Tamandua tetradactyla: one gene and its partners. The protein of the gene in region 4 purifies or fractionates together with the protein of the main gene of each other region. This does not show direct contact. Links are inferred from orthologs where the notes say so. Each region holds a gene or a part of one and is shown on either strand. Other genes may lie near its edges. The genes, in order: CDC25C, KLC2, MARK2 and YWHAE.

The links.
Region 1: the proteins of YWHAE (region 4) and CDC25C purify together in Homo sapiens (affinity purification with western blotting; 9 studies listed by BioGRID and IntAct, with this or other methods). This does not show direct contact. The link is inferred for Tamandua tetradactyla from reciprocal best matches to the Homo sapiens genes YWHAE and CDC25C.
Region 2: the proteins of YWHAE (region 4) and KLC2 purify together in Homo sapiens (affinity purification with mass spectrometry; 3 studies listed by BioGRID and IntAct, with this or other methods). This does not show direct contact. The link is inferred for Tamandua tetradactyla from reciprocal best matches to the Homo sapiens genes YWHAE and KLC2.
Region 3: the proteins of YWHAE (region 4) and MARK2 purify together in Homo sapiens (affinity purification with mass spectrometry; 8 studies listed by BioGRID and IntAct, with this or other methods). This does not show direct contact. The link is inferred for Tamandua tetradactyla from reciprocal best matches to the Homo sapiens genes YWHAE and MARK2.

What each region holds. Positions count from the first base shown.
Region 1 is NC_135346.1:17,999,268-18,007,223, reverse strand, and holds the start of CDC25C (M-phase inducer phosphatase 3), read left to right. Parts: upstream 1-4,949; 5' UTR 4,950-4,983; coding exon 4,984-5,177; intron 5,178-5,909; coding exon 5,910-6,019; intron 6,020-6,695; coding exon 6,696-6,741; intron 6,742-7,956. Other genes in the region: oocyte-specific histone RNA stem-loop-binding protein 2-like, read right to left, coding at 1,250-1,340, 1,483-1,635, 2,706-2,810, 2,907-3,002, 3,800-3,843. UniProt on the Homo sapiens protein: Functions as a dosage-dependent inducer in mitotic control. Tyrosine protein phosphatase required for progression of the cell cycle. When phosphorylated, highly effective in activating G2 cells into prophase.
Region 2 is NC_135335.1:8,173,723-8,181,620, forward strand, and holds the start of KLC2 (kinesin light chain 2), read right to left. Parts: upstream 3,002-7,898; 5' UTR 2,911-3,001; intron 2,888-2,910; exon of another isoform or gene 2,727-2,887; intron 2,050-2,726; 5' UTR 2,003-2,049; coding exon 1,775-2,002; intron 1-1,774. UniProt on the Homo sapiens protein: Kinesin is a microtubule-associated force-producing protein that plays a role in organelle transport. The light chain functions in coupling of cargo to the heavy chain or in the modulation of its ATPase activity.
Region 3 is NC_135335.1:10,713,338-10,720,544, forward strand, and holds the start of MARK2 (serine/threonine-protein kinase MARK2), read right to left. Parts: upstream 3,004-7,207; 5' UTR 1,408-3,003; coding exon 1,351-1,407; intron 1,332-1,350; exon of another isoform or gene 1-1,331. UniProt on the Homo sapiens protein: Serine/threonine-protein kinase. Involved in cell polarity and microtubule dynamics regulation. Phosphorylates CRTC2/TORC2, DCX, HDAC7, KIF13B, MAP2, MAP4 and RAB11FIP2. Phosphorylates the microtubule-associated protein MAPT/TAU.
Region 4 is NC_135332.1:55,181,735-55,188,718, forward strand, and holds the start of YWHAE (14-3-3 protein epsilon), read right to left. Parts: upstream 3,008-6,984; 5' UTR 2,885-3,007; coding exon 2,821-2,884; intron 1-2,820. UniProt on the Homo sapiens protein: Adapter protein implicated in the regulation of a large spectrum of both general and specialized signaling pathways. Binds to a large number of partners, usually by recognition of a phosphoserine or phosphothreonine motif.

The DNA of each region.
Region 1 (7,956 bases), on a different chromosome or scaffold from region 4:
CCATGTCAAAGTCTGAAATAGGTTCTACAACTAACTGTGGTGCTGTGCTTTGAAAGTTATAGCTTTTTTGTATATGTGTTATTATTCACAAAAAAAGAAGAAAAGTCAACTGTGGTAATAAAAAAGTATTTAAGTCCTCTAGCCTCCTATATTCTGGAGCAGCTAGAAGGAAAAATATGAGAGGATCGTATGGTAGCCCATGACAAACTCTGGGATCTGTCCAGTAACCACTTGTTGAAGAGTGCCTTGAAAACTGTTGCTTTTTTATTTCTTTGCTTTGTATATATGTTATACTTTACAATAAAAAAAGTTTAAAAAATCAATTCTGTAAATGTATTAAACTTGTACAAAGAACTAATAATAGAGTGGTATATGGGGGGAAAAGTACCTGTTACAAACCATGGACTGTAGTTAACAGTAATATCTTAATATTCTTTCATTAGCAGTAACTAACATACTACACCAAAACCAGGGGACAACAATAAGGGGTGATAAGGGGCATGGGGTATTCTGGGTTTTCTTTTTATTGTCTACTCTTTTTCTTTTTGGAGAAATGAAAATGTTCTAAAATTGATTGTGATGATAATTGCCCAACTAGGTGATGATACTGTGAGACATTTTATACTTTGAATGGATTATATGGTGTGTGAATTTATCTCAATAAAATTTGTAGTTAAAAAAAAAAATTAATTCTGCCCCCAGTACATCCAGAGGATGACCCTGTAGATGTGACACGAATCTGAGCTTCAAGGTACATTAAGCCATAAAACAAAACTAAAAACCCTGAAACCTTAAAGCCCTTGCTCTTCACCACTAGGCTATCCTCCTTTTTATTGTCATCCATCCTTCAAAATGTTAAATGATTGAGTAAAAGAAGTTAAGTTAGCATTGGCTCACTTGAAAAACACTTAAAAAAGAATTGACAAACTTAAAAAAAAAAAGTCAAGTTTCATACAAAGAAAACTTACATCAGCTTTCATCAAGTGAAAACAATACCTGCCCTTCCCCAGTGCCACCCAAAGGCCCACCCCCACCCTAACTATAATTAAATCTCCTTATACCATTCCTAGTTCTCAAGTGTTTTACTCATGTTCTGCTATTTTTTCTGTTGCCTCCTTTTCTTTCTTTTGTTCTTGTGCTACTACCTTGAACCCCATCTTAATTGTGACTTCATGGGCCAGTCCCTATCTTTGACTGTGCTCCAGTGGATTTCAGCAGAAGATACTACCTTCTGGTCTCCATCCAGATCCTATGAGGGTTCCAGGGCCTGGAGCTTGTCATCCAGTAGGTCATCCAAAGGGGTAGAATCCACTGGCTGTAAGAGTTTCTCCATTCCCTGCCTAGGAAGGCAGCACAGTCAGAGGAATATGCATCTCATACAGTCATTCCCTTTTCAGCCAGTGAAAGCTAAACCTCTGTTGGGTGGGGAGACGTAGGACTCAGCCCACCACTCACAGAAGGAACCAGAAATAGCAAACACACCCCTCATCCCCACTGCCCTGCAGAGTCTGGCTGGGGGGGTCCCAGGAATGCAGGGCTTTTCTCCACTGTCTGATCTGGGCATCCCAGGAGCGACGGCTGTACTTCTTGTTCTTGTTTGGAGTTTGAGGGTGAATCCCTGGCTGTCGCTGTGCCCTAGTAATGAGAAATGTGGGTCAGACTGAGGTCAAGGTGAAAGGGAGCCCCATATAATAGGGGGCACAACTCACTGCTTATCATAGTGAATGAGGAAATTTGTTAGTGATTCCTGAGAATGGTGTAAGATCCATGTTCTTGTGGAAGGCTGAGTTATGTGCCCCAGAAAAAAACATGTTCTTAATCATCAGCACTCCTGTGGGTGTGAGCCCATTATAAATAAGACTTCTTGAAGATGTTAGTTAAGGTTGGGTGCAACTGAATGAAGGTAGATCTTAATCTGGATTACTAGAGGCCTTATAAAGAGGACTTGGAGGTCAGAGAAGCCAGAAAGGAGAAGCTTTTGTAATGTGACTAGAGGCAGATAGACAAGCCAAGGAAATCCAAGGATTGCTGACAGGCAGCACAAGATGCTACAGACCCTCAGGAGAAAGCAAGCCTTGCTAACATCATGATTTTAGACTTCTTCTAGCCTCAAAACTGTAAACCAATAAATTTCTATTGTTTAAGCCATCCCATTGTGTGGTATTTGTTATAGCAGCATGGCAAACTAAGAGGGTCCTCAATCCAACAAGAAAAGTAAATCTTCCAATCACATTAAACACCAAACTTCTGACCTTCGGGAAAGGGTAAGTTAGATAGTCCCAGCTTCCTTGGAAGCCAAAATAGACATAAAAGACAGTGTTTATCTTCCCTTTAAAATGAATTCTACCTTTTCATACATTTAGTTTGTATATATACATGTAAATTTGCATGTAATTAAGCAAGTATGTTGCAATTATCCAACTCAGCTGGAAGCATGAGGGGATAGTAAAAGTGGTTGGAAGGAAAACTACCTCATTAGGAAACACAGGTAAAGCTTTAAAGTCTTATGGGCCAAGTATTACTTGTTCCATTAAAAAAAAAAATCTTAGAAACTTATCTTTAGGGCTAGATTGCAGGAGACTTGGTTTTAACAATGCTGTAACTTTGTGAGAGCACTCAGATTTTAGTATCTTTCCATCACCTGACATTGAAATACAACAACTTGGTTGACACCATTGTTGTCACCATCCCACAGGTGCACTCACTTGGGGACCTTTTGCAGAAAGCACTGATAGCCAGGTGTGCACTTGCCATAATCTATTTGTTTTTGCCGCCGCTGCAGGACAACTTCATCAGTCTCTACTTGCCACCTGCAGGAAGTCCATGTGAATTGTGATTAGAGGCATCAAAGTTGAAACTAACTCATCCCACACTCCCTTAAATCCCAGCCTGAGTCTCAAACTCACCTGGTATGACAGAGCTCTGTACTGACTCCCACGCTCACCATCTCTAGCCTAGAGGATAGAGACTCCTCACAAACTTCCTTTCTGGGGGAGCAGATTCTACAGATGAAGTGAGTATTAGGATAAAAGCCAGCTGCTACAATGCACCTCTCAACCACCACCATCACAACCACAAGATTCAGACACCAGATAAAGGTTGTATTTTTGACGGGTTTCAGAAGTGTGGGTTGGCAAACCACCTACATTGGCACCACCTAGGGACCTTAATAGTTCCTGAACCCTCTCTAAACCTATTGAATCAACAATTGGGGGCCTGCATTTTAAACATTTTTTTATTATTACGGAAAATTTCAAATACGTACCGAAGTAAAATAACATAATGCCTTGGTACATAAAGTGTGGTTCCAGGGCCAGCCACTGCGGCATCACCTGGAGGTTTACAAGAAGTGTAGAATCTTGTGCCCTCACCCAGACTTACTGAATCAGAGTCTGCATTTTAACAGTATCCCCAGGTGGGTAGTAACCGCATTAAACTTTGAGAAGCACTGACATCACACACCCCCATGCTTCTATTATCCAACACTCAAAGCCAGTCTTGTTTCATTTACATCCACCGCTGCTCCCGCCCCCGATTATTTAAAATAAAATCTCCAACATTAAGAATAATTTCTTAATATCACCTAGTCAGTGTTAAATATCCATAAACAACTAAAGTTGGAGATCCTTTCGATTGATAAGGATTATGCCAAGAAATGATCCAACTCCTCTATTTTCCGTGAAAAGGAATTTCCTTTTACCACAACCTAGCATCTCAGAGATGCCGCGCACTAAAAAGGGACACCGAACAAGGAAAGCGCTTGGAAGGGGTCAGTGCCGCGTTGCCTAAACACACACACCTGTCTCGCCCCAACACCTGCCACGCTGGCAATAAATGCTCCATCTCCAGAGATCGGCTAGCAAAACCAGGAAGTTAGAAGAGAAAGGTCCACATAACGGTACGAAAAAAGGAGCAAGGAAAAAATAACCGTTTCCAACACTCTCATCTAAATTAAACTCTCCAAATAATATCTTAGCGAGTGGTGGCCGCCTGTGGGGAACAATTTAAATCTCCCGGGTTGGTGGGGATGTAGTAAGGGAGAGCACAGGAAGGGTGTGGCGATTGGTCAGAGGAAGAGCCAATGGTGCATTAGGCTTCCTGGGGGGGCGGAGCTTACCAGAGGCTGGTGGGCCAATCGCTATCCTGCTCTGACTCCCGGGCGGGGCAAATCTTGCTCCTGGCAAGGCAACCTCGTACCCCCTGTACTGGCCAAATGATTGGCTGAAGGGAACTAGGCGGGTGCGCAGGGATTGGCTGACGCAGGTAGAGGCGAGCGGTGATAGGTTATTGGGACGGCGGAAGATTTGAATGGTCAAGGCCCGTTGCTTTTGGTATTCTTCTACCCAAACCGCGTAATTTCGACCCTCTGAGGAGACAACCCGCGAAACCAAACTCTGGCCTATTCAGTCGACAAGCAGAAGTGTACCCTGGTTAATTGTCACCGTTTCCAGGATTGGTTCTTCCTTTAATTCTGCTCGTCTTCGCTCGTGTCCGATCTTTCCCAGCTTCCCTTTCTCCTGAAGGCAAGGAGACCCCAAATTTGAGGTAAGCCTGGAGTTCTGAGTGTCTGTCACGGAATGACGGAGATCGCATTTTCTCCTCAGTGGTCAGGCCGGGTCCCGCAAACGGAAGTCCAGAGGACCGAATGGGCATTGTCGTGAGTTAAGAGTCCCGATTTCCGGTCAGGACTCGTGAGCTGTTTGCCCCGAACAAATAAAAACCCTCTCTTCATTCCAACTTTGAAGTCCTGAGATTGCCTCTCGGCTACTTCAGGTTCCACCGAAAAGGCCAAGCCTCTTTGGGCAAGTCAGATTTAACCTTCATAATAGGATGCGATTCACTGTTTGGGGATGCCGCTCCGATCCTGAAATGTTTTATCATGCTGGAAAGGGTGGGGGAGGTAACCTTGAAGGCTGGATGACCTAAGATGGTGTTCTCTTTCCACCCAGGCTTTATTTTTCCTTTGGTGAGAATTCGGACACCATGTCTGCAGATCTTTCCTCATCCACAAGAGAAGAGGGAAGCCCAGGCTCAAGGCCCACATTTAGGTGCAGTCAGAGGAAGAGGTTAAACTCGCTCCTGGAGAGAGACACTTCCTTTACGATCTGCCCAGATCTCCGTAGAACTCCAGTGGATAAAATCCTTTGTGATTCTGCAAACCTAAGCATTTTGTCTGGGTAAATGCACTTTTATCATCGCACTCTATCGCCTTTACCTTTCTAAACAGCTTTAAAAAAAAAATTGTCCTAGCTCAAAGACCTGAATTTAAAACTCAACTCTGCCCTTAACTAATTGTGAGACTCTTTTGAGTCTCAGGATGATTTTCTGTGATACGGAAGTAATAATCTCTCCCCTCATCCTGTTTTACTAGGATCATGTGAAGATCATATAACATGATGTTTAAGGAAAGTCTTCGCAAATTCTATAGCGTTGTGACTTGGTTAATTTTTACTACTAGTAGTAATGGTATTGTTCTTTTACTTTAAATCATGAACATGCATGTCCTGTTGTCTCAGCTAGCAAACAAAGTTGGAGAGTTATAGAAATGAGATGTACTAGAAACTCCAATGAGAAATCCAATCTGTGTGCTTACGGCGCACGGGGCAGTGGATGTGGGGTTAAAACCTATAGTTCAATAAATTTTAGTCCTCAGTTAAAAAAAAAATTATCCTGGTGAGGAGAAAATAAGATATAAGTTATTGGAGTAGAAAGAAAGTGAGATTTTTTCTCAGCCTAGTTGTTCTATTATCAGCCTGGAATACTTCCAAAAATATTTAGATTTATTTGGACATCAGTCAGATTTTGAGATTGTCATCAAAGGGTGTTTCAAATGAAGAAAGCAACATGATCTTTGTCTTTAAGGTTTCATGACCTAATGGGAATCTTGATGTTCTATTATGTCTCAACAGAGGAACTCCAAAATGTTGTCTTGATCTTTCGAATCTTAGCAGTGGGGAGATGTCTGGCACTCAACTTACCACTTCTGCAGACCTTGATGAAACTGGTAGGGAGGAGAGAGGTATAGCCATCAATGGGAAAAATAACTTAGGGATAGGACAGAGTTGTAGGGCAGAGAGGGAAGGTGGTGAGAATAAGTAAGAGAGGCTTGAAGTTTGAATTTTGTATGTAAGTAGAGGATTTTTGAGGAGAATGATTAAGCCAATGGGAAGAAAAAGTTAGCATTAAAAGGAGTCACTTTGCATTTGAGAAAGTTAGATAGGAAGGAATATTTTGTTAGCTGATTGATGGTAGGAATCAAAGTGTAATAAAATATGAGAAGTTTTGTGCCTTAGTCTAATTTCAGCAGAGGCAAAGAAACCAACATAAGGAAATACTTTGTCAACTAAGACTGTTTTTTTATAGGGTCTAAGTCTGAAATGGATGTGTTTCATAAGACAAAAGTCTAGTACTTGTTCTAATTTCAGATTTCCTGAGTGATAAGCTTTCTTTTTGGCTCATGAAAAAATCTCCATGGGTTAATATAGTATAGTATAGTTAGTGTAATATAGTATAGTTCTGGTTCCCAGAACCAGAATTTTTTCTTTAGGTGATGCATGTAAATTCTTGTATTTCTTGAATTTCTGTTTGTCAGGAGACTCAGTTTTTGGAAATACTATGGCTTACTGATGATGAAAATCAGAAGGAAAGACAGGGTGCATGAACAAGGATAACTGATTCTTCATGTCTGATTTCAGGACACTTGTATTCTTCAGGACCTCAGGAAATACAGTTAGCTGTGGTGTAAGTTTTTCTTTCTAAATGAACCGCACGCTACAACATTTTTAGCACTGATCATGGGGATTTTATCCTGTGTAGACTCTGCAAAGTACAGAATATTTCACTTTGGAGATAAGTGGGCTTTGAGATCCAAGTCATTCCCTCGAAAGGCTAAGTTTCCCGGATCTGAATAGTGTTGTGAAAATGTGCCTGATAGTTAAAATGAATTCAATCAGTGTTATCTTCAAAAATGAAGGAAAATGACATACTGTACTTGCATGTAGGCATAATGTTTATTATTACTGTTATAGATTCTTAACAATCTTAAAATTTTCAGACAAGGAATACTCAACAAATGCAACAAATTTTGATTCAGCTCTTCTTAAACTTATAAAAAGTTTTGCACTTGGCTGTTTTAATCCTTTTGGAGCTTTATCTTTCAGTGTTTAGGTGAAAGATGACTGTTTTTATCAATATGTGTGAAAATTTCACTTTGTATAGCTTGCATTTTCTTTGAATTGCTTAAAATGTCCTAACCCATGATGAAATCCTGAGAGAGAGGATGGAAATTCATAATTATTTTTCTTTATCTCTTAGAACAGCTTTAGGTTTACCGAAAAATCCTTCAGAAAGTACAGTATTCCCTATATGGCCCTGAACACACAGTTTGCCCTATTATTAACATTTTACATTAGTGTAGTACATATGTTACAACTGATGAACTGATATTATTAAATTATTAATTACAGTCCATAGTTTATCTTAGGGTTCACTCTTTCAGTTGTATAGTTTTTTCTAAGATTTTTTTAAATTGTGGTAACACTTAACACAATATAAAATTTCCCATTTTAACCACTTTCAAAGTGTTCAGTGATGTTAATTACATTCACAATGTTGTACTACCATCTGTTACCAAAACTTTTCCATCACCCCAAACAGAATTTAATCTCATTCAATTAAACATTATCTCTCCATTCTCCAACTCTACCTTAGTGTTAGAAATACATATTTACACCAACAGTCAACACTGAAAAATTAGTAACTAAAAATGATTATGTCTACATGAGATGAGAAAAAAACCACATTCATCTTTGTTACATATCCATAAATAGGATAATGCAAGTGAAGTGAGGGGATGTCACTTGCCATCTTGATATTTAGCTCTGAGAATATCCTATATATTATTATGGTAAGATACACATCAACCAGATGCAGGGCCCCTGGAACGGAAGAAAGGAA
Region 2 (7,898 bases), on a different chromosome or scaffold from region 4:
GGGAAGTGTGTGTCCTGAATCTTCAGAAGGTCTAGGGAGCCACAGGGGCAGATAAGGCGATCCAGAGCCCTCAGCCTCAGGCTACATCCCTTTTCCCAACTTCTCTCATGTCTTCTCTGAGCTTCCAGGCTCTTGCCTTGGGGCCTTGGCCTGGGTTATGCCCTTTGCCTAAAATACCTTCCCTTCTTTCTCCATCTGCTGAAACCCCTCTCAGCCTTCAGGGCCCAGCATCATTACTGCAGTGACTTCTCGTCCCACTTGCACCCTTGGCTCTAGGAGAGCAGGGCTAACCTCCCCGCAGCTCCAACTCCCAGAGCCCTCAAAGCCATCCTGCTCCCATCTGTGCCAGTGCCTGTGCACTTCTAGGGCCAAGGTCCATGTGTGCTCTTCTCTGCACACAAGAGCTAATTGACCAACATGTTGCCCTCCCTGAGGGCCAGGCAGGCTGGGACTCTGCAGTTTCTAGTTGGGTAGCAAATGCCTAAGTGACAGGTGTTTTCACAACCACTAGCTTTCAAAAAAAAAAAAAAAATCCCTAAATAGTCTGTAAATATATATAGCAGACAAGGAAACCACAATGATACGGCCTGCCCAGGAGTCACAGAGCCAGGCAGTGGCTTAGCCAAGATCTAGGGGTGGGGAAGCCCAGACTCCTTCCCTGAGAACCAACTAAGGGAACACACCTTGGTGGTCCTGGACATCTCCATCTGCATCTCGTGGCAGCCCACCTTAAGTAGGCCAAAATAGAATCCTGGCCCTTCCTCCTCCAGGCTCTCTCATAGCCTTAACCTGCCCAAGCTTAACAAGCTTGGGAATTACCCTCCCCGTCTCTCTCCCCTTTAGTCCCTCCCAGGTCCTGCTGGAACTGCCTTCAAAACATCCAGAACTTGTCCCCTTATCTTCACCCCCCTGGTTACCCTTTTAGTCCAAGTTGCCATCCCTCATTTGAATTTCAGCAGTGGATCCAGGCCACCTGCTACCTGCTTCTGCCCTTGACCCACTATGGTTCATTTTCCACACCTCAGCCAGACCGGGTCTTCTGTTTGCTTGAAACCCTCCAGAGGCTTCCCAATTTCCTGAGAATAAAACCCAAACTAACAAGGTGCAGCATGCTCTGGCTCTTGCCTCCCTCTCTTCTGTCCCCATCCCTTCCTCCTCTGAGCCCCAGGCACAAAAGTCTTCCTTTAAGTCCTCAACCACAAGATCTTTCCTGCCTCAGGACCTTTGCACATGCAGCTTCTCCCTCCTCCCTTTCTTGGAGGATGTTTCATTCCCACCTTGCCTAACCAATAAGGAAGACCTCCTGCTATATGCTAACACAAGGTCTTGTTCTTTTCTTCCAAGAAATTATCACAATCTGTAACAATTTTCTGTATACAAGTGTTTCTGTCTCTTCCTACTAAACTAGGGCAGGGCTCTTGTCTGTCTTGTTGGACCCTGTATCCCTGGATAACTTATCTGTTAATGAACAAACAAAAGAATGAAAATTTTTCTGTTGGGGGTGAGAGGGTGTTGGTTTTCTTAAGGATTTCCTTCTACTAGCCAGTTTCTGCTGGGAAGAGGGGAGTCAGAGCTAGAGAGTAACCAGGATGTCTGGGGCAGGGCAGGGCAGGGCAGGGCTGGGGTCACCAAAGAACATTCATGCACTGAGATCCTACCAGGGGGCTCCAGGAAACAGATGTCCCCTGCTAGATTCTGCTCCTACTTTGCCAGGATTTCCCTGGAAGATCCGATACCTTTCCTGCCCACCCACCTCAGCACCCAGACCCCCTACCTGGGCCTCCCCCAGTCCCAACTCGATGGCCTCCAGGGAGCGGCGCAGAAGGACACAGCGCTCCTGCGAGCCGGGCTCGGCATCGGCAGCCTCATGCGCCACCAGGGGGGCGAGCAGGGCGCGGTGCTCCCCGCGCAGGGTCTCCAGTCCCTGGATGACGGCCTTGGTGCCCAGTACGATCTCATCTTGGCTCAGCTTCTCCTCCCGCGGAAGCACCATCGTGGCCATGGCCGCGTCGCCTGTGAGAGTGAGGGGCCGGCTGGCGGGCGCCAGGCCTGGGGCCACGCCGCAGTCCGCCCCGGATTCGGTAAACACCGGCGGTCCCCCGACGCCTGGGTCCCCAGGGTGCCCAGGCCCCCCGGCCGGCAGCCCGTACGGTGCTCGCGCTAGGCCTACAGGGGGCGCGCCCGGCCCGTGTCGGCCGGGGAGACGCAATGCGGTGCCGCCGGTGAGGCCGGACAGGGATTCTGCCCCTGACCACCCACCCACTCGGGGCTGGTTTCGGCCCTTGTCTCGGGGCATCCCAGAGGACTTCCTCAGGGCAGGGCGCGCCGGGGGACAGTCCTATGGGGATCGTGGGGGCTCGACCGGGCAGGAGACCCCAGCCCCTCCGGGAGACCCGGTCCGCCCTCGTCCCCTTCCCAAAAGGCAAGCAGAGGCATTGGGCCCCTCTCCTAAGGCAGGCCGACCCTGCGGAGACCCCTCCCTTAGAGGGGCTGAGACACGGGTCCCTCGACCCTCCAGGCCGCGCTCACGACGACCTCCTCCCCAAAGAGCGGCGCGACGCCCTGCGGACCCCTCCCCTGCAAAGGCCGAGCTCCAGCCCGCGGCCACCGAGGACCGCGCCGCCCGCCCGCTGGCCTGGTCCTCCCACAGGCCGCGCCCATGACGACCCCTCCCCTGGGCCGACCCGGAGCCCCCTGCCCCCCTGGGACCTGACCCCTCTCCCTGCCTGATCGGCCGCGCGGATCTATGGGTCCCGCTCTAGCCCAGCTCCCGCTCCGGCTCCGGCTACGGCTCCGGCTCCGGCTCTCGGACCGCTTCACCGGGACTCGCAGCCGTGAGCGGGTCCCGCCGCCTCCATCCCGCCGGCCTTCCCAGCAATCCCCGCGCCGCCTTAAAGGTGAAGCCTCTACCTCCACGGCGTCGGAGGGGGCGAGACGCGCTCTCCCCGGAGGGCTCTCTGCCTTAAAGGAGCAGGACCCGCAGGACACGCTCCGGGTGGGGGTGTGGCCACCGGCCGGAGGGGGCGGGGCGTGGGCTGGTCAGAGGCGCAGGTTGCAAGCCCGCGTTTCCCACACTCCTCCAGCCTCGGGTTCCCCGTCGAGTCAATGCCCGGAGGCCTCTTGCCGAGGCTCGGGAGACCGTGCACCCCAACGCAGCCAAAGCCGAGAGCAGAGAGGACGGCGAGAGAAACTGAGTCCACCTCCGAGTCCAGAGCCTGGCTGGCTGGGACCAAAAATGACCATAGCGGTTGACATTTATTGAGCACTTTCTGTGTGTCGGGCGCTTTGGGTGCCTGAAATACCTTGTCACCTAAGCTCACAAAGAGTAGGTTAGGAGGGTACTTCTGTTATCCCCACCTTCAGCTCTGAACCCAGATCTCCAGACTCCCAGGCTACTTCTGCTCCGGCGCCCTTCAGAGCTGTCCATGTCCCTTGAGGGGATTCACTGGCTTCTTACGGCTACTTCTTGCCGGATGCGAACGGAGACCAAGACTCAGGCCTCTGTGCTGAGGAGCATCTTTGGTCCGTGAAGGTGTCATTCAGAGCTCGGATTGTGTCACCTTTGCAGAGAGGCTTCCCTTGACTTTCCTCCCCCTCCGGCGCCCATTTAGTGCTCTCTAGAGCACTTATCCCTTCTGACACTTTTCTTGTGGTTTGCTGTCTCCTAGAATGCAGGTCGGGACCTGTCTGTCATGTTTAATCTTAGAGCAGCTCCTGCAGGGCACATAGTAAATGTGGTTTAACAAGAGGCAGAAGGATGCATCTGATGGCCTTGGCAGGATCTTCCCAGGCCTGGGGGTCTGGTCTGGCACCCCACAGCCCAGGGTGGGTGGCCACACTGGCCCTGACCCCACTGCTTCTATGTTGGCACAGCAGGATGAACACTCCGAGGGACAAAACCTGCACAGCAAGCCCTGGCACTGGTAGAGACATCTCAACTGAGGCAGAGCGGGTTCAGAGTCAGAATTCACTGAGTTGCGCATCTTGGTGGGTGTGGGAATCTCATCCAGCACTTTCAGTTAGCTGGAGTGTGCGCTGTGACACTCTGCTGTAGGACAGCTCTAAGTGTGACACGTCTTCCTTAGACTGAAAAGTGCTTTCCTGCAGTGCTCACCCCACTGTAGCTCGGTCCTCAGGCTTCCTTTTGCCAGAGAGGATATTTGGAGTACCAATGGTGCTCCACCCCCTCTGCTGCCTGAGCTGACAACCCTGGTCCCTTTTCCGGTGCCTGCTGGTCTCCAGACACCTCTTTCAGCGTCCAGTGACCCAGGCAAGGTGTGAACTGCACAGATCACAGAGGGTGGCCCTCCCTGACCACATGCCATCTATCCACCTGTGAAGCGGCAAGTGATGTCGTTAATGTTGACAGCCTAGCAATGCGCCTGCTCAAGCTACAACTCTAGGTCCTTATGTCCCAGGTACTTCTCCCCAAACCTGGGCTTCCACCACTGATTTCTTCTCAGTGATTTTTTTTTAGGAACACTAATGCATTCATATGAAACAAAATCCATAAGGCACACAAAAGGTGCAGTGAAATGTACTTCCCTCTCTCATGTCCTCAGCCATCCGGCTCTCCTCCTCGAAAGCAACTGCTGTTTCCAGTGGCTTGTGGCCGTTGATGATTTTGGTTAACATCGGTGCAGATCTTGAGTTTATCCCTGTTGATCTGATGTGACTGGTTTTCTGCCAGAGCCCCTGAAGGTTGGGGGTCGCCTGCGTTTGAGGTCTGCCATCCTTCGCTGTTCCGTTGGCCCTGTCTCCCAGAGGCACCCAGACTGCAATTTGACCAGCCTGCCCTCTGTGCCTGAGAACCCCCAGACCAGGACTGATCTCTCACCTTGCCATCCCGATCATAGAGAGGAAACAGAACGTGGGGTATCTTTGTCCCTCTGAAAGAGGTTTTGGAATCTTTTGGGAAGAGATTTTGTTAAAATGGGTCCTTTTGGAGGTTTGGATTCGACAGTGCCAGGGTGGGTCCTGGGCATCTCTTGGTATTTTAGAACTTCAGAGGTGCCTGTGATGTACGCCCTAGGTTGAGAGCCGCTGCTTAAAAGTCCTTGTTTTGCAGGTGAGGAAACTGAGGCCCAGAGAGGGGAAAGTAGGAGAGCAGGAGCAGGCTTTTGATCCTGTTTTCCCCAGGAGCTAAGGTCCCTGGTGACTGCCACATCCTTTTCTATCCAAGAGTTCACGCCGTTTGGTGCCAGTGGGCGAGGGAGGCTGACCACATGCAGTAGAAGTCAAGAGAACTGACACACTCACACAAAAGTAGTCACACACACCCTTGCACACAACCTCCAGCGGGCTCACTCAAAGGCCCAGAACGCTTATGGGCTCATGTGCACACCTCCGCGTGTGTGAGTTTACAGACCCACGTAGGTGCCCACACCACACAGCCAAGTGCAAACGCACCCCCCAAAGCCCTGCTTTGTTCATGCCTTCTCTCTGTCTAATCAAGGAGCACATTTCTTTTATCATCTTTTCCCAGGTAAACGTAAAGAACATTTTTCAGTCCCCTTTATGATTCTTACTGCTTTTTTGTTTAGTTTTGTTTTTGCCCCATCTTCTCTGCTAAATCTCTGTAGGCTTTTGTGGTTTCTTTGTGATTCCCTTTATGGCATCTGGCCTGCTCCTCCCCTGTGATCCCGTGGAGGGAAGCTGGCGTTCTCATGCTCTTATCTTGCTTTCCATGCTTAACCTTGCATGTGTTCAACCTTTTCAGCCACTTGACTTTTTTTTTTTTGCATGTTCATCATTTCTTAGTACATTTGCATCGATTTAGAAAAAGAAATAAAAGACAACAGAAAAAGAAATAAAATGATAATAGAGAAAAAAAAGACTATACATACCATACCCCTTACCCCTCGCTTTCATTTACCACTATTTCAAACTGAATTTATTTTAACATTTGTTCCCCCTATTATTTATTTTTATTCCATATGTTCTACTCTTCTGAACATATAGTAGCTAAAGGGAGCATCAGACATAAGGTTTTCACATTCACAGAGTCTCATTGTGAAAGCTATATCATTGTTCAATCATCCTCAAGAAACATGGCTACTGGAACACAGCTCTACATTTTCAGGCAGTTCCCTCCAGCCTCTCCACTGCATCTTGAACAACAAGGTGATATCTACTTAATGCATAAGAATAACCTCCAGGATAACCTCTCAACTCTGTTTGGAATCTCTCAGCCATTGACATTTTGTCTCATTTTACTCGTCCCCCTTTTGGTCGAGAAGTTTCTCTCAATCCCTTGATGTTAATTCTCAGCTCATTCTAGGGTTTTTCTCAGTCCCTTGATGCTGAGTCTCAGCTCATTCTAGGATCTCTGTCCCACGTTGCCAGGAAGGTCCACACCCCTGGGAGTCATGTCCCACGCAGAGAGGGGGAGGGTGGTGAGACTGCTCATCGTGTTTCAGCCACTTGACTTTTTATCTTGTCTCCAAAGATCAGACTGTGCCTCTCCCAAGAGAAGGAAGAGGCTGTAACTTCATCCTGCCATGTTCTGTGCCTACCCACCCCCACCAGTAGCTGTTGGTTCCATGCCAGGCTGCTGAAGGGGGCTCAATAAATGGAGAATAGAAGAATGAATCCATGCCCAATGGTGATTCAGCTCCTTATGCCATTTTCTGCTGTGCTCATTGGCTTACACCGTTCACCCACCCCCATCCCATGCCTGGGGAAGTTTTTCTTTTTTTGCTACTTTTAATATGGTTTTCTCCCTGAAAATCACTCCTACTGCTCCTATCCCTTCCCCTTGGACCTGCTGAAGCATTCATCCCACTCAAATATGCTTTCTTAAATTATGTTTTTTTTTTTTCCTTTGGCTAGCTTCCCTCCTTTTCTTTGCAATGGTTGGGGGGCACTTTCACCAAGGATATCATTCAACTTGATGTCAGCAGCTTTACTCAGAAGCAGTTGATAGTGGAGGGCTCCCCGACAAGGGTTCAGTTTGCCATTTCCTAAGAAGTCTGTTCTGCGTGCGACCACTCTGGCTGTCAGTGCTTTTGTTCACTGAGCCCCAAAGCAAATCTGCTTGGCGCTTCCCCAAAAGGCTTCTGGCTCCTTCTTTGGCAGGCACATGGTGATTCTGTATCTTCTCTTTCTTGGGACCTCCTGGTCCAGGGACTAGAAAGGTGCTTGCTCCAAGCAGTAGAAAAGCGCACAGGCTTTGGGATCAGACACAGCTAAATTCAAAGAGTGTTTCTCCACTCTCCAGCTGTGCGACATCAGGCATGCTCTGTAACTGCCTCTGTGTCCACATCTGTAAAATGGGGTAGCTACCACCTTCCTTGCTGGGTCCTTGAGACGACTGAATAAAATAGCATCGTTAAAAATCTTGACATTATGCTTTGCACAAAACCGTTGCTGTTTCTTGCAGCTCCTTATTGTTATTATCACCACCAAGCTTACTATTTGCCAGACGCTGTCCTAGTGAGCTGAGGGTGGAGAGAAAAATTATGAAATACAGGGCAGTCTCTGTTTAGAGTGTTGCTGGGAAGAAAATGCACTCAGAATGAAATCAGGCAACAGACAAGGCAGGAAATAGAAAGGTGTCTGAATATAACTGCGTTAGTCAGGGTTCTCTAAGGAAATAGAACCAACGGGAGGTATGTATATATGCAAATACATGTATATGTATATATGCACATTTAATATAAATATTATGAGATCTTTTTTTAGGCGTTGGCTCATGCAACTCTGCGGATGGGCAAGTCCTAATTCCATGGGGCAGGCTGCAAGCTGGGTACTCCAATGAAGGTTTGTGATGAATCCCCCAGGAGAAGCTGGCTGGCTAAAGTAAAGATGGAAATTTTCCCTCCTTCTGCTGAGATCATCACTTCTCCTTTTAACGCTTTCAGCTGGTGGGATGAGCGATCTTTCATTGTGGAAGGCAA
Region 3 (7,207 bases), on a different chromosome or scaffold from region 4:
ATGTACCCCCACCCCAAAAATGAACTGTAATGGCCCCTCCTGGGGATGTTCACATTCCTTTATGCTCTTGTTGCAGGGAAGGCTGGGGCTGTACAAAGCCGCCAAAGGGATGCTCCCTTTTCCAGCCAGAGAAGGTGGATCCTTGATAAAGGAGACCAGTAGAGCCTGCTACTTAACCACAGAGTCAAAAGTAAGGTGCTTGGCTTCCCTTCTGCTGTCAACTGGCCCCCACTGGCATGTTCTCTGAGCTGCAACCCTCATCCCAAAGCAGGGAGTCCAGCCCTGAAGCCCAGGTCATGAGGGGAGCCTGCAAGCCTCAAAGCAACCGCAGCAGAAGCCAGAATCTCCCTGGGGGAAGATGAGTAGGCAAGAACTGACCTGGAGTGAGATCAGAACAAACCGCCTACTCCAGCTCACTCCTCTTCAAGCATGGAAGCCACAGAGCAATGCGTACCACACAAAAACCTTCCTTTTTAGAGCCACTTGAAATGCCTGGCTCCTCTGTGACCAGGGCAACCATGGCTCCAGCAGCCTCCACCACCACTTCATCTCTGAGGATCTGCTCACTGGGCTCTGAGCTCTGTCTCAAATCCCAACTACTGCCGCCATTTCATCAAACCTTTTTTGAGCACCTATTTCTGGAGCCAGGGCCAGATGTAAAGTTCAGTGAGACTGATTTCTGCATTCTAGAAACTTAGAGGGAAGCTGTATAGAGAGACTTATTATAGCAGCTCTAGCTCACTTTGTTAAGGGAGACTAGAGAGCAGAGCTCTGGAGTCAGGTGGACCTGGCTTTAAGCCCCATCTTTGCTAGCTATTTCACAAGCAAGATTACTTCTCTAGTCTGTTTCCTTTTTGGAACACAAGGACATTAAAAGCTAGTAACTGTACCCATTTCACAGGATTTATGTGAGGACTAAATGAGAGAATCTATGTCAGTGCTTGGCATACACAGCAAGGACTTGTTAATGTTTCCCATCTCAAGGGGTTCTCTGGGCCCTGAAAGAGCTATAACCTCTAAGCATTTGACTACAAGTACCTAGGTTCTTGCCATCCTGATACGCCTTCTAAAATAAGGGAAAGGCACCCTTATGCTCTGGCTGGGCTGTCAGGCAAAGATGACCCTCTTTCCTAACATAAAAGCATTCTTGCTGGGAAGAGTGGGTGAATGGAAAGGGAGCCATGCCTCTGTCTTCTGCAGCTACCCAGAGGAGGATGAAGGTGGTCCTTCCAGGCCCTGACTGGACCCTTCCCTTTCTGACCAGCTCCTTAACTCTTTCCTCCCAGGAAAGGTCAAAGAAACAGCCGATATACCAGTACCACGTGGTGCCAAGGACTGGGGGAAGCTCACACTGCTAGCGTTGCACTCCATTCGGCTCCTCTTGTACCAGTGGGTTACTGTAACCATGGAGACCAGCAAGTTCCTCCATATCACAGGAGAGCCAGCCTGCCAGCAGCCCAAGGCCCTGGGGAATGGGGGTGGAGGGGGTAGGGAGAAGTCAGCCTGCAGCACAAAGGTTTGGCTCCCTTTACAGAAGATTGTGGGAAGTGGAGTTGAGGTGCCTGGGCTTCCCTCTAACCCCCTTTTTTTTTTTTGCCTAACAGCTTATGTTTTAGCACATTCTCAGGACTCTGGGCTTCTACACCCAGCTTACACTGCTGGCTCCCTCCAGCACACTTCCGGGAAGCTGCATATGGTATGGTAGTGAAGGGTGTCATCCTGGGGTCAAGTCCCAGCTCTACCTCTCTGGCTGCCTTGGAGGGAATGGAATGGAATTGTGGATGAAGAGTTCCATCAACCACATGCTTTCTTTAAGTAATTCAGGTAAGTAAATCTTCTATCCCTTGTTTTACCTAAATCCTTGTGTTCAAAGAACTATCTAGACACTTCTTAACTGGGAGTAACTGCTCCCTTTTCTGGACTCTCAAAGCACTTTATCTACACTGGCTTATCTTTTTTACTCTGTGTCTCCATGTCTTTCCTCTCTCAAGCCCTGAGAGGCCAGAGATGGTAGCCTGCTTGCTTTGTGTGCCCCCAATGCCTACCAGTGCACATGTTACTTACATATGGAATAAAAGAGGTACAACTCTGTGAACCCTAAAGCCCCCCAGGACAGAGTGGCCTTCATTTTCTAAGGAGAAGAAGGTCTGAGGAAGCAAGACCAAAACCTCTTGCCATGAGACCTGCTTCCCCTTTCCAGACATTCATCACCCTTGAAATTGGTTGGATACCATCTCTCCTTCCCACCAGCCTACACTGCAAAAGAGGGACACAGGCCCATCTTATTCATGGCCCAGAACAATGTCTAGCACAGCAGACGTATTCAAAATGTACTGAGAGAACATATATGTAAGAGTGAATAAATAGGAAAATGTGGTGGGGCATCTTCATGAAAATCTCTGTGATCCCCCAAATCATAGCACTCTGCAGACAACCAGCAGAGCAGTAGGCCACAAGATTCCCTGGATGACACCGATGGAAATCTAATTCCACTAGCGAGCTTTCTCAGGTGGGAAAAGGCTCAGGTGCTCTCTCCTGACACAAAGCATCAGGTAAAGGGGTCACCAAGGTGAAGTGCAGAGGAACTCAGAACACAAAGCTTAGCCAAGGACCAGCAGGGCAGACTCCCTGGCCACCCTCCATTAAGCCCAAGCCCTCCTTTCATCTCAGAGGGGGAAACCTCTCCTCTGAACTTCCTGTTGCCTGTGACAACTACCAGCCACTCCCACTTAAGACAATTCTTCTCTCTGCCTCTTTACGTTCAATTTTTCCACTGATATGCTAAAAAAACATTGTATCTTACTACAACAATGCAATGCAACTTTAACACTATTGATTTGGGGAAGTGACAGTGACTTGCAGCAGAGCCTAACTATAGGCTCTGTTTTGGTATCTTCTGTTTGAACCAATACACTGATCATAAGGCCCTGTCAACCCCAGGGTGCCACCTACCAAAAGAAAATCACCCATACACATACACACCTGCCTCCTGTCTTGATGCATAAACCAGCATTCCCCACCCTACCCCCCACCACTCCCCAAACAGCCTCCTGTTACAGAAAAGCAAAGGAACTAAAAACGGCAGCTGGGGAGCTCAGTTGACTCACCCAGCATAATCATCTCCTCCCAGAATCTCCCATCTTCTCCTGGGTTTTTTGCCAACACAAAGTAAAAAAGAAGCATGAGATCATTTTTTTTTTAAACAAATAAAACAAACAAACAAAAAACTACCTTGCTATTTATGCAACAGCCTTTCTACCTGGATGTAGATTTATTTCTTTGTCTCTGCCCTTTTGCAATGTGATTTCTTTAAAATGTCTTTATGCTGCAGAATAGATCCAGTGCTGGGCGGGAAACAGGCCTTCTGGGTCCCATCTGGTTCCAGCCCTACCACTGGAAGGTGCTGAACAAGACACTGCTTCTCTTTCCATTTCATCTTTATCTGGAAATGGAAAACATACTGCTTTCTTACTCCTCCAGTTTCAAAAGGGGAGTTGAAGGAAGAGGAAATGTCAGAAAAAAACACTGGGGCAAAGTCTGCTTGCCTTAGAAGTAACCATGGCTAGAGGTCAAAGCTCAAGCAGAAGAAGTAACAAAAATCACCTAAGGCTGTCACTGCCACCCTGGCCTCAGAACTATTCCCCACAGGGCCATGCTGTGATGCAGCTGCTCCAGTTAAGTGACCATTAAAAATCCAACTGGCTGCTGTTTCTAAAAGCAAAACCCCCTGCTGGGCCGTTCCTGTTCATAGGCTGAGATGTTATCTTTCTCATACAGCAGATCATTAAGAACCCAAGCAGGTGAACAGACATCTGAGCCGTAGGGGTGGGCTGGGGGTGGGGGTGGAGTGCCCCATTTCTGGTGCTACCTAAGTACGGGTCAGTGAGCTGATATTGAGAATCACACAACTGCCCCGCAGAGCAATCAGAGAGAATCAGCATAGCTTTGTGGCAAACTTCAGCTGGGGGTGTGGGGAGTGGGGTGGGGTGTCAGGGAAGTGTTTTTTTTATTTTATTTTATTTTATTTAATGCTCATTCAGCATCCAAAAGGACAACTTATTTCTGTGATAGATGGTGCTATGTCTGCAAAGTAATGAGAACACTTCCACAAGGGCACAAGCAAATCTGCTGCAGCATATTAGTCAAGAAATCCCCAACTTACCAACAGTTCCTTCCTGTGTTAAGTAGGAACTATTTTTCCATAAAGACATGCCACAAACGGTGGTTGTGTTCTCAAAACCAGCCCATGAGGGCCCACCATTGGATCAAAAGTAAAATATTAACTGTACTTCAGCTCTAAAGCATAGTTCAGAACAGGAAAAGGACTTCAGAGTTCCAACGTGGGATCCAGGAACTATCTTTGCTCTCTATACATCATGGGCAGCAGAAACTGGGCTTGAAACAAGAGCTGGGGGTGGTGGTGGTGGAGATGATAGGGACTTAAAAACCACGGTGGTAAAGAATCGGGCATTTGGAGGTGATTGGAGCATAAGGTTGGATAAGGAGATACTGACCCAGACAGAGACCAGGAATAAGGCTGGAGGAAAGGAATGCTGAAAGGTACTGCCTTACAGGAGAAGGGATGGATGGGTTAAGAAGACCAGGTAGGAAAGCTTGCAGCTAGAGAAGAGAAACGGGATCCTAAGACAGTACACTGGCACATCAGGTCAAACACTCTGTCTCTCCTACAAGGCTATGAGGCAACTAAAGCAAGGAATGGGCCTCATTCTACCTCGCTGGGCTTGCCACCCCTGCTGCTGCAACCCTGGGCTGAGGGCAGAGACTGCTGGATTCTAAGTGGCCATGACCTGGGCAGGTGCCCTGACTAGCTTGCCAGATAAATGGAAAAGGTTTCTTCTGTCAAAAGTGGCGGAAAATACTAAAGAGTGCAAGCCTCTCAGCGAGACCAAATATATGTCAGCTTGTGACTTTAGGCCTAGGGTGCTCCCAAAGCCAAACACCGTGGTTCACTTGCTGGCAGCAATGACAGTTCCACTCCAGGGTGCCCTAGCTACTTGTGTATTTGGCCTAGGAGCAGAGTACAGTAAACCAGATGATAGCCATTTACCATTACAAGTACCTTCTTAAAAAGTATATTTCATAATTAATTCATCTTTTCAGAGTCCTAGAAGAGAGCCTGTTTGCACGATTTCTAAGAGAATGAAAAGGCCCAGAGAACAGCCAGCTTAGCTATGGCTAAGGCAGCAAAGACCTGGGTTCACGTTTCACAGCTGAGTGTTGGAGGCTCTGTGCTTTCTAACCACTGTGACAGGGGTCTGGGGGTGGGCTCTTTGATACAGATTAGCTCATGTGCTGGTGGAAGCCCTGAGGAACTAGAACCACCAGTTAACAGGTGGTATTGGGGAGAAAGGGGGGCGGGGTTGAGCACTGTTGGATGTACTATTACAAAGACTGCAGACAAGAGAATAATCGTTATTTTGAAGGAGGCAAGCAACCAAATCCATAGCTCTCCAGCTCCAAATGCACAGAAAGGGCAGAATACAAAAGGAATACAGGACCCTCCCTCCCTCCAACAAATTCTAAAGGGCAGCTGTAACTACCAACAGGCATAGAAGCTTAAATAAAGTCCTGAAGACTGAGAAGAAACCCACCTAGGACACCTCTAGTGAAAGAATTTAGCTGGGCTGTACAAGGTCACTGATATCCATCCTATCCTGTCTATGTTGACTACCAAGGACAAAGAACTTTCCAGGCACGAAGTGGTCTCTACCAAGCCTTGAAACAAAAGGTGTAAGATCAGACATGCCAAATATCCAACACCATCCAAACACATAGAATAGTGCCTGGTATATTCTAAATGCAAATGGAACTCACTATTGTTATAATTCCATATAACAACTTGTGGTGGAACTTGTGCTCACCATAAATGCTCTGCATCTCCAGATGAGACGGAACTTTTCAAACTGATCTAGGAAAGCTCTGCAGTTGAAAGCCAAGTTCTGGTCGTCTACTCTCAAGGCTCAGACTTGAACTTGGGTAGAGCCAGCTCAATCGTTCTCTCTTTTCCATAAAACGCCCCTGCCACTATAGTCTCCCCTGATAAAAAGCACTTTAAACATCTACATCCCAACGTAGGAAAATCCAGAGGATATACCACAGCTCTTGAGATCCAAATGTCAGCAATTTTGCCAAGACCTTCTAGATATAGGACCATGGAGTCTTTGCAAACCAATAGTCACGATGGGAAATGTGACTAGTGATTAAGAAACACACACACACAGTCTGGTGGGAGACCCTAATTCTTATGTTATGTACTCTCTAAAGCTAAGCTCTGCCTCTTCTGCTATGATGAGGAAAACCTGTGTGTGTGGTGGGAGGAGTGGGGCAGTGGGGGTGAAAATTTAGCTGTAGTTCACGCTCCTGAGTCTCTCTGGCTTGGAGACTTGGCAGCCTTGTGTGGAGCCAGGCTCCCATCACCAGCTGTCCTTCACACAATATAACAGGCTCACTATTTGAGAAGATGGGATTTTTGGTACTGGGTTTAGTATCCCATGAACTAGTGTCTGTCTCAGGGCAGTTTCCTGTAACAGCTGCATGTCCTGCAGACAGGATTTCAGATATAAGAGAAAGATAAATGAGATACAAAAATTAGGAATTCACGGTAATAAAGGCAGTGCAAGAAAGAATGAAAAGTGATTATCCATCTTCTTCTCAGAGCTGAAAGTCCTAACTCTGCCCCACACTCCCCAGGAGAGGCTGACCTCCCCTAGATGGTCCTCGCAAAGGAACCAGACACACTCCCGTCTACCCTCACGGGCAGGCCCCGGCTTCCTCCTGGTATCTGCACCTCTTTGTCCTGACAGCTCTACCATGTCAAGTGACTGCGGTATCTACCATTGATGCCTGCCATCCCATGACCAGACAGCCAAGGTCATGGGAGTGGACCAGCATGTTCTGCTGCACTTGTTTATAGGTGAGAGGATTAAGACAACTTGTCAGGGGAGGGACGGAGGCAAATCTTGTGCACAGGGCAAGCACTGGGAACACAGCATAGAGGTCCCCCGCCAAGAAGTTTTTTGCTCAAATATAAAGTAGAAATCTCTCAGCAAACGCCAAACCAGCAAACTGTGCCAAATACCACTTAGGATCAAGTGACCTTGGGGCACTGCTCAATTTCTCCAGTGTTCTCTGTATGGAAGGTTAATGTTTGGGTTTTTTAATACCTGAGCAAATCCTCTCTGGCCCA
Region 4 (6,984 bases):
TCCCCACCACTCTAACTAGAGTAAGATAGAGGTGGGGCTCTGGTGTTTTACAAGGACAGTTCTCAAGTAAAAGATTCAGGACAGAGATATTCCTGGTGTTGATGCATTCATCACACAGAAAGTGAATAAAAAGTGATCATCAAAAACTCTGCAACCAATCTTCACAGGAGTAAACTGAGGTAAGAACAAAAGAACTACCCCACAAGCCCAAATGTAGTTTATGCCTACTCCTCTACTCCTCCAAAATGGGAAAAGGAGCCTTTGTTTTCCTCTGTATTCCCCAATTTTCTAAAAGTACTAGTAAGACTTGGTTCAGGATTGCTAAGAGATGAAGGGACTTGCCTAATATGGCTACCAATACACAATCTGACTTGCTCAAGTGACAAGATGTCAAATTTAATCTTCAAAGTGAACGGTCTTAACAGCAAACTTCAATATTTCATATATATATCCCCAAATTATTATTTTCCTGAAAACAGCTTGTCTCTTCGTCTAATACCATTAAAAAATCTATAAATTGATTGCAATTCCCTAGGACAGAATTAAATAGGAAACGAATCTACAAAGAAGTTTAGACATTAGGTTCAACACAGCACACAAAAGACAAGGATACTGCAAGGACAGAGAAAAAAAAGCGATTAGTGCAGTTGGAAAGCCAATATTTACCCCTAAGTACCCCAAATCCAAACCACTCAAATGAATTTTTCATCTTCTTCCACTCACTACACCTGATAAATTTTTTTTGGTGTAGAGAACTATGGATCATTTCTTCGGCAACAAAAAATTGAATTCATTGATTGTGCTCAATAAGAAACCTATGCATCTGTGGACACAGGTAAAGACTGATCCCCAGTGAGTATTCTTCCTTTCCACTGAAACTCATCACAAATAGTCACAGGAGTTTCCCCCACCTTTGTAGATCCTATTTTCCTCTCCCTTTAGCCCTTGAAATGAAAACGTAACATTTAAACAATGTAAAAATCTGGCTCCAGCAAAAAAAAGTCCTATATTGAAAATCAATAAAGACTTGGGTCAAAATTCCTCAGCACTCAATCCCAAAACATGATTATCACTAAATTATCCTTTATTTGGGAGATACAATCATGAGCTCCCAGATCAGCTTTTAAAACGAGTTTTGTTTTTTGGTGTTTTTTTTTTTAATAAGAAAGCATTCCTCAAGATCCTTTTTGGTTATCACAGCACGTTTACTCAGAGTCTAAATCCCTACAGAACAGAAAGCATTCAAATATAATTTAAAGTTTCCTCCCCCAACGGCAACAGCAGATTAAAAGGGGAACCTATTTGGGACACCAAGTGGGAAAAAAAAACTCCCACTGCAAGCATACCTACAATTGTTTGAATTTTAAACACCGAAATAAAGACAAATCTGACCTTGAGCTGTACTTCCCATCTTATTCCCTCATACAAATAGCAATGTAAGGACTTAGACGATGAAATTTAGTGCAGTATCCTTCTCTAAATTTGAGTTCTAGCCACCTACCAAAATTTCAAATTCCCGAATCCTAATTTCTGGTGAAACACTAGAGCTAGCCCTGAGGCTATTCGCATGACCAAAGTGGTATTCAAGGAAAGCAAGAGCTCTACGACATTTTGAAAAATAAGTAGTTTAAAAAAGTAAGAGAATTCTAAGGATCGCACTTAATGACGACCATGCCAGACCCCCCCCCCCAAAAGCATAAAAACATCTATCTGCATAGGGACCATATAAGATTTTTTTTCTCATATGATGCATCAGTTAAGTACCTGGAATAGCTTAAGAACCACTCCGATCCTGGGGAGTTAACCAAAATGCAGCTACTCTACCTTATTTGAAATAATTTTATTCTTCTACAGAAGGTCGTTACGTTTTTCATAAAGGTGCATGTGAAAAGAAAAGTCATTATTTTTACAACCAGTAAACTGAGACACGGGAAAGATTAGAACACGATCTCCTTGTCTCCTCTTTAAGGTTCTATCCACGAGAACCCACTGCTCCTGGAACCAAAGATTACAAGAACTTCAAGCTTCTCTGAATAAGTCCGAAGAAAAGGAGAATGGATGAGGTTTTCTGGACCTCCCCAGAAGAACAAGTAGGCGAGGCTGAACGTAAAGCCCAAAAAACCATCACTACAAGGTGTGCCACCCTACGGGAAGGGAATTCGATCGCAGCATCTCAGCTTGCCTCCGCCCAAAGATGAACTGCAGTGATTCCCACTCTCCCACCAACACCAAGAATGTCCCCCACCCCAAGTCCAAAGAAACCCTCTGCTCGCAACGGTCCTCCTTTGTGAGTCTCCACAGCCGCCGCCCCACACTGGGCCTCCGGGGAAAAGCCACCGCCCCCACCCGCCATGTTTCCCTGAAAGACACCAGCGCTACAGCTCCCAGTCTCCACCGTCCCCTATGTGGCGGGTGCCTCTTCCCCATCACCCCACCCAACTGTTCTCCATATCACAAGACAGTCCCAGAAGCTTCCACGGAATTGCTCGCCTGGAGACAGCACGGGGCCATCTCCTCCCCCCTCCCCCGCCCCAGGACTCGCCCTCCCCCAGCCGCCATTTTACAACCAACTCCTCCACCCTATCGCCTTAGTCTCCTAGCCCGCGAATGGCTGCAACTGAAGACACCGAAGGGGTCTAATTCCTGGGCCTGGAGCCTCCCACAGCTCCGGCAACCCAGAGGCCATTTCCTCCTTCCCGAATCCACATCCCCAGGTCAGGGCCGGAGACGATGCCGCCATTTTGTCTCCTGCTCCTGGCCTCTGTGGGCGGCGGCAGAGGGTCCGAGAATCCCAGCCCCCAACTGCACCCCCCAACTCACCGTCGTATCGCTCGGCCTGCTCGGCCAGCTTCGCCTGGTACACCAGATCTTCCCGATCATCCATAGCGGCGGCGGCTTCGGCAGGGTGTGCACGACGGATGGAAGCGGATAGCGTCTCGACTCTCTCAGCCTCTTGCTCCGCGTCCGGGCAGCAAAAATGGCGGCGCCTCAATCCGGGACTTCCGCCTGCGCACGCGGACAACTGCTCAGCTCTATGGCAACCGCTCCCTGGCAACTGGCGCGGGGGGCGGGCCCTCGAGCTCGGCTCTCGAAGAGGCTGAAACCCGCGAGACGCCCCGCCTCCGTTGGCTCCGCTGGAGCTGGAGTGTAGAGACTGCAACCGCAGCTGAGGGGCAGCGCTAACGGCGAAGAGGGAGAGAGGACAGCCGGAGGCGCAGCCCGTGTGAACCGCGCCTGAAAAGACTGAGCGAGCGATCTTGGGCTACTACTGTGGGCCCATGCCTAGGACTGAAGGGCAGGGAAAGGGACAGGCTGTTTTTGTCATGGCAGGCCTCCCTATCGAAATCAACTGGCTTCCTTTACCGTGCCCAGGTTCTCACGACTAAACCCAGTCCTGGGTCTTTTCAGACTTTTTAAACCCGGAGTAAAGTGTTGGGCTCTTGCTAAGGGGGGATTCCAGTTTTTACATCTCGTCTTCTTCCTTGCACTTTCTATTTTTTCTTCTCCCCTTTAGCCTTCTTTTAATGCTTAGGTCCACGTGGATAGGAGCAGGAAAGTTGTTCGGGGAGCCTGCTTTGGGTTACAAGGTGCCGAAAAGTTGAACCAAGGGAAAACTTGATTTTGAGGAAGTAGGAAGATCTGTCAATGGAAATTGCTTGGTGTTAGCAACGATCTGGACCGTTTTACTTCTTTCACCTACCTTTGAAACACAGGTGTTCTCCGAGGTTTGCTTGGCGTGCTGCTTCACCTCCAAACACTCTCTAGCTGCTTCCATGGCAGCCTACCTTCTATTTCTAACTCCAGTCTCCCTTTCCAAGTTCATGCAGGGTATTTCTACTTGGATGATCTTTGGGGACATCCCCTCAGAATCAACATGTGTTAAATGGAACTCATCTTTTTCTGCAGTACACCAGTAATTTATTGAGGAAATGGATTTCCCAGTTCCTCAATAAATGGCTGTGCAAAGAATAAAACAGGTAAATAAAACCTAAGTTATGTGGTGGGCTCTGCAGTCGATGTGGAATGAAAAGTAGGTTGTAGCCAAATTACCAAGAGTCTTATATGGCAAGCTAAGATGTTTGTATCTTATTCTGTGGACACAAGGGAGCTATTGATGATTTTGCATGGAAAGATAGTACTGGCAAAGATAGTACTGGCATAGAGATTAGTAGGTGTTGAATAACAATGGTTACAAGGTATGTTAAATGATCAGAATATTACAATAGTCCAGTCAAAAGGTAATGGATAGTGGCAGTGAGAATAGGAAGGAAAGGATAAATAGGAACGGCACTAGAGAGGTAGAAGCCCCAAGAGTTTGTAGATGACAGGATTTAGAAATATTCTGAGAGGGTGAAAATCAATACTAACTTTCCATCTTCCCACCCTGAGTCACTGGGATAGTGAGTGGCAGTACCATAAACAACGAAAAATGGAATGACAGGAAGACTTACTGGTGTACTGCAGAAAAAGGAGATGAGTTTCATTTAACACATGTTGATTCTGAGGGGATGTCCCCAAAGATCATCCAAGTAGAAATACCCTGCATGAACTTGGAAAGGGAGACTGGAGTTAGAAATAGAAGGTAGGCTGCCATGGAAGCAGCTAGAGAGTGTTTGGAAGTGCAGCAGCACGCCAAGCATAAAACCTCAGAGAACACCTGTGTTTCAAAGGTAGGTGAAAGAAGAGCCAGCAAAGGAGACTGCAAGGCTTCCTATTGCATTCCAAATTAAGCTTCTTCACACTTATTATCACTTAACAGATTTCAGTGGTAAAAGACTAAGAGTCAAAAGATCTAGGTTCTAGCTCTAATTCTACGACTAAATAAATGTATGACCTTCAGCAGGACACTTCAACCCTCTGAGCTTTGAGTTCATCTGTACAGTAAAGGAACTGGATTTTCTGGACTCGAGATCCCTTCCAGCTCTGTACGATACATCACAGCAGTTAAAGCCATGGGCTCTGGACATCTTGGATTCAAAAGCTACTTATTGCCTCTGTTATGGGGGCAAATCATTCATCTTCTTTAAATCTCAGTTTTCTCACCTATAAGATGAGAAAGATATTTTCCTCATACAAATGAGAATTAAGTGGGAGATTGCATGAAAAGTGCCTGAGACTCCATAAGTGTTTGGCAATTCTTATCAATGGTTCTATGATTCAAGCTTGAGTAAGAAACATAAGTTAATATAAGTGAGAAGAAAAAAAAAAGGGGGTGGTAAGTAGTGTGAAATGATGGAGAGATATCCAATAAGATAAGCACTGAGGAAAAGCCACTGGGTATAGAGTTAGGTCTTTAGTGTCCCTCATGAGCAACTTGGAAAAGGTATTGGAAGCCAGGCTGCATTTGGCAGAAGCTCAAAGAAGGAGAGGGGGTGGAAGGGTTGAGTATAGGGCTCTCTCAAGAAACAGCAGTGAAGAGATGGAGGGTGAGAGAATAGTAATCTGAGAGAAAGGAAAGAAAATGGAATTGTGAGTGGCCAAAAGGGGTGGTCACATATTGTTGAGCCACAGGTTTGTTCCACATGTTCACGTATCCCACCCACCTTAGAAAGCTGGCTCTGCTGCCAGGTCAAATACAGAGCTGTCACGGACATGCAGAGATTAGGGGTGGGTACGCTTCTTCCCAACTGCGTCTTCTTTCCTTGCTAGGAGCTTCTCAACACTGCTTCCAAAGACTAGCAGAGTCTATCCGAAGGTGCCCCTTCCTAAGAAACTGCTGAGAAGGCAGAAATCTTAAACTTAGATTGATTCTCAGATTGTACTGCCTATTCTCTAAGTAAACAAGGTTTACAGAAATTGTTTACAGGGCACCAAAAATTGTGAACAGACTTTGAAATGGCATCTGGAATTATAAACACATAAAAAAAAAACATGGCTGTTTAGCATATAATACTGCCCTTTTTACCACTGTTGTGTTAATAGATACTTTACACTCCATTGAAAATCCTCTAAAACAACAGGTCATTAAGGTCACACCCTTAAGTAGAAGTCTCCAAACTTTACAGAATTTGCTTTAATAGAAATAAGAGCTCTTTTGACCTGTCTGGATGAGAGTATCCACAGATACATGTCAGCGTACTAAAAACACTCACAGAAGGAAATACGTTATTAAAAAAATGTGATTAGTCATTGCCCCCAGGAGCTTGCAGTTTTATTGCTTTTCTAACATTTACCACTATTGTGTTCCTAAAGCATTATTTTATTAAAATATTATTATAAATATAGGCTCATTTAAAAATCTTAGACCTTTCTGAGTTTAATTTTTTCCCCTATATATCTTTATCATCAAAATGCATTTTTGAAGTTATGCAGTCACATGAAAAATTCTCACAATGTATGTAGAAGCCAAGATATAAAATTACATATTCAGTATTGTGTTGTTAAAATACAATTATACCTATTTAAAAAGATCAGAAAAATAAAACAATATTAAATAAGTTTTGTTTCAGTAATGGGACTACAAGTGATTCATTTTCAAATTTATACTTTTTTGTATTTTCATAAATGTCTTTATTATCATGCATTAATTTATGGAATCAAAGGGTGGAAATTTTTAAATGACTATACTACATTATTGTTCTGCAGATTGCTTTTTTCATGAATAGTACCTATAAAACTACTTTATTCTTTTTAATTACCTTATGGTATTCCCTTGTATGGATGTTTAAGAAAGAAATCTTCTACTGATGAACATTTAAGCTCTCTGCAGTTTTGCTATTACTATAACCGGTGCCCGCTGGCAGTGGTGCCAGCTGAGCCCCAATCCAGGTTCGATCCAGGTTCATTATTAGTCTCCACACTAAAAGAATTTAGAGGTGAGAGGGCCAGTAGGAATCAGTAGTAAAATTTGTTAAAGGAGAGAGTACACGTTAAAGAGGTTAATGAGGATGCTCCCAAGGGAGGGACATGGGCTGAGTGTAGTGTGTAAGCTTATTTTATAGGAAAGGTTTACTGGTGGCAGGTTTCCATAGTAACTTTTGAAAC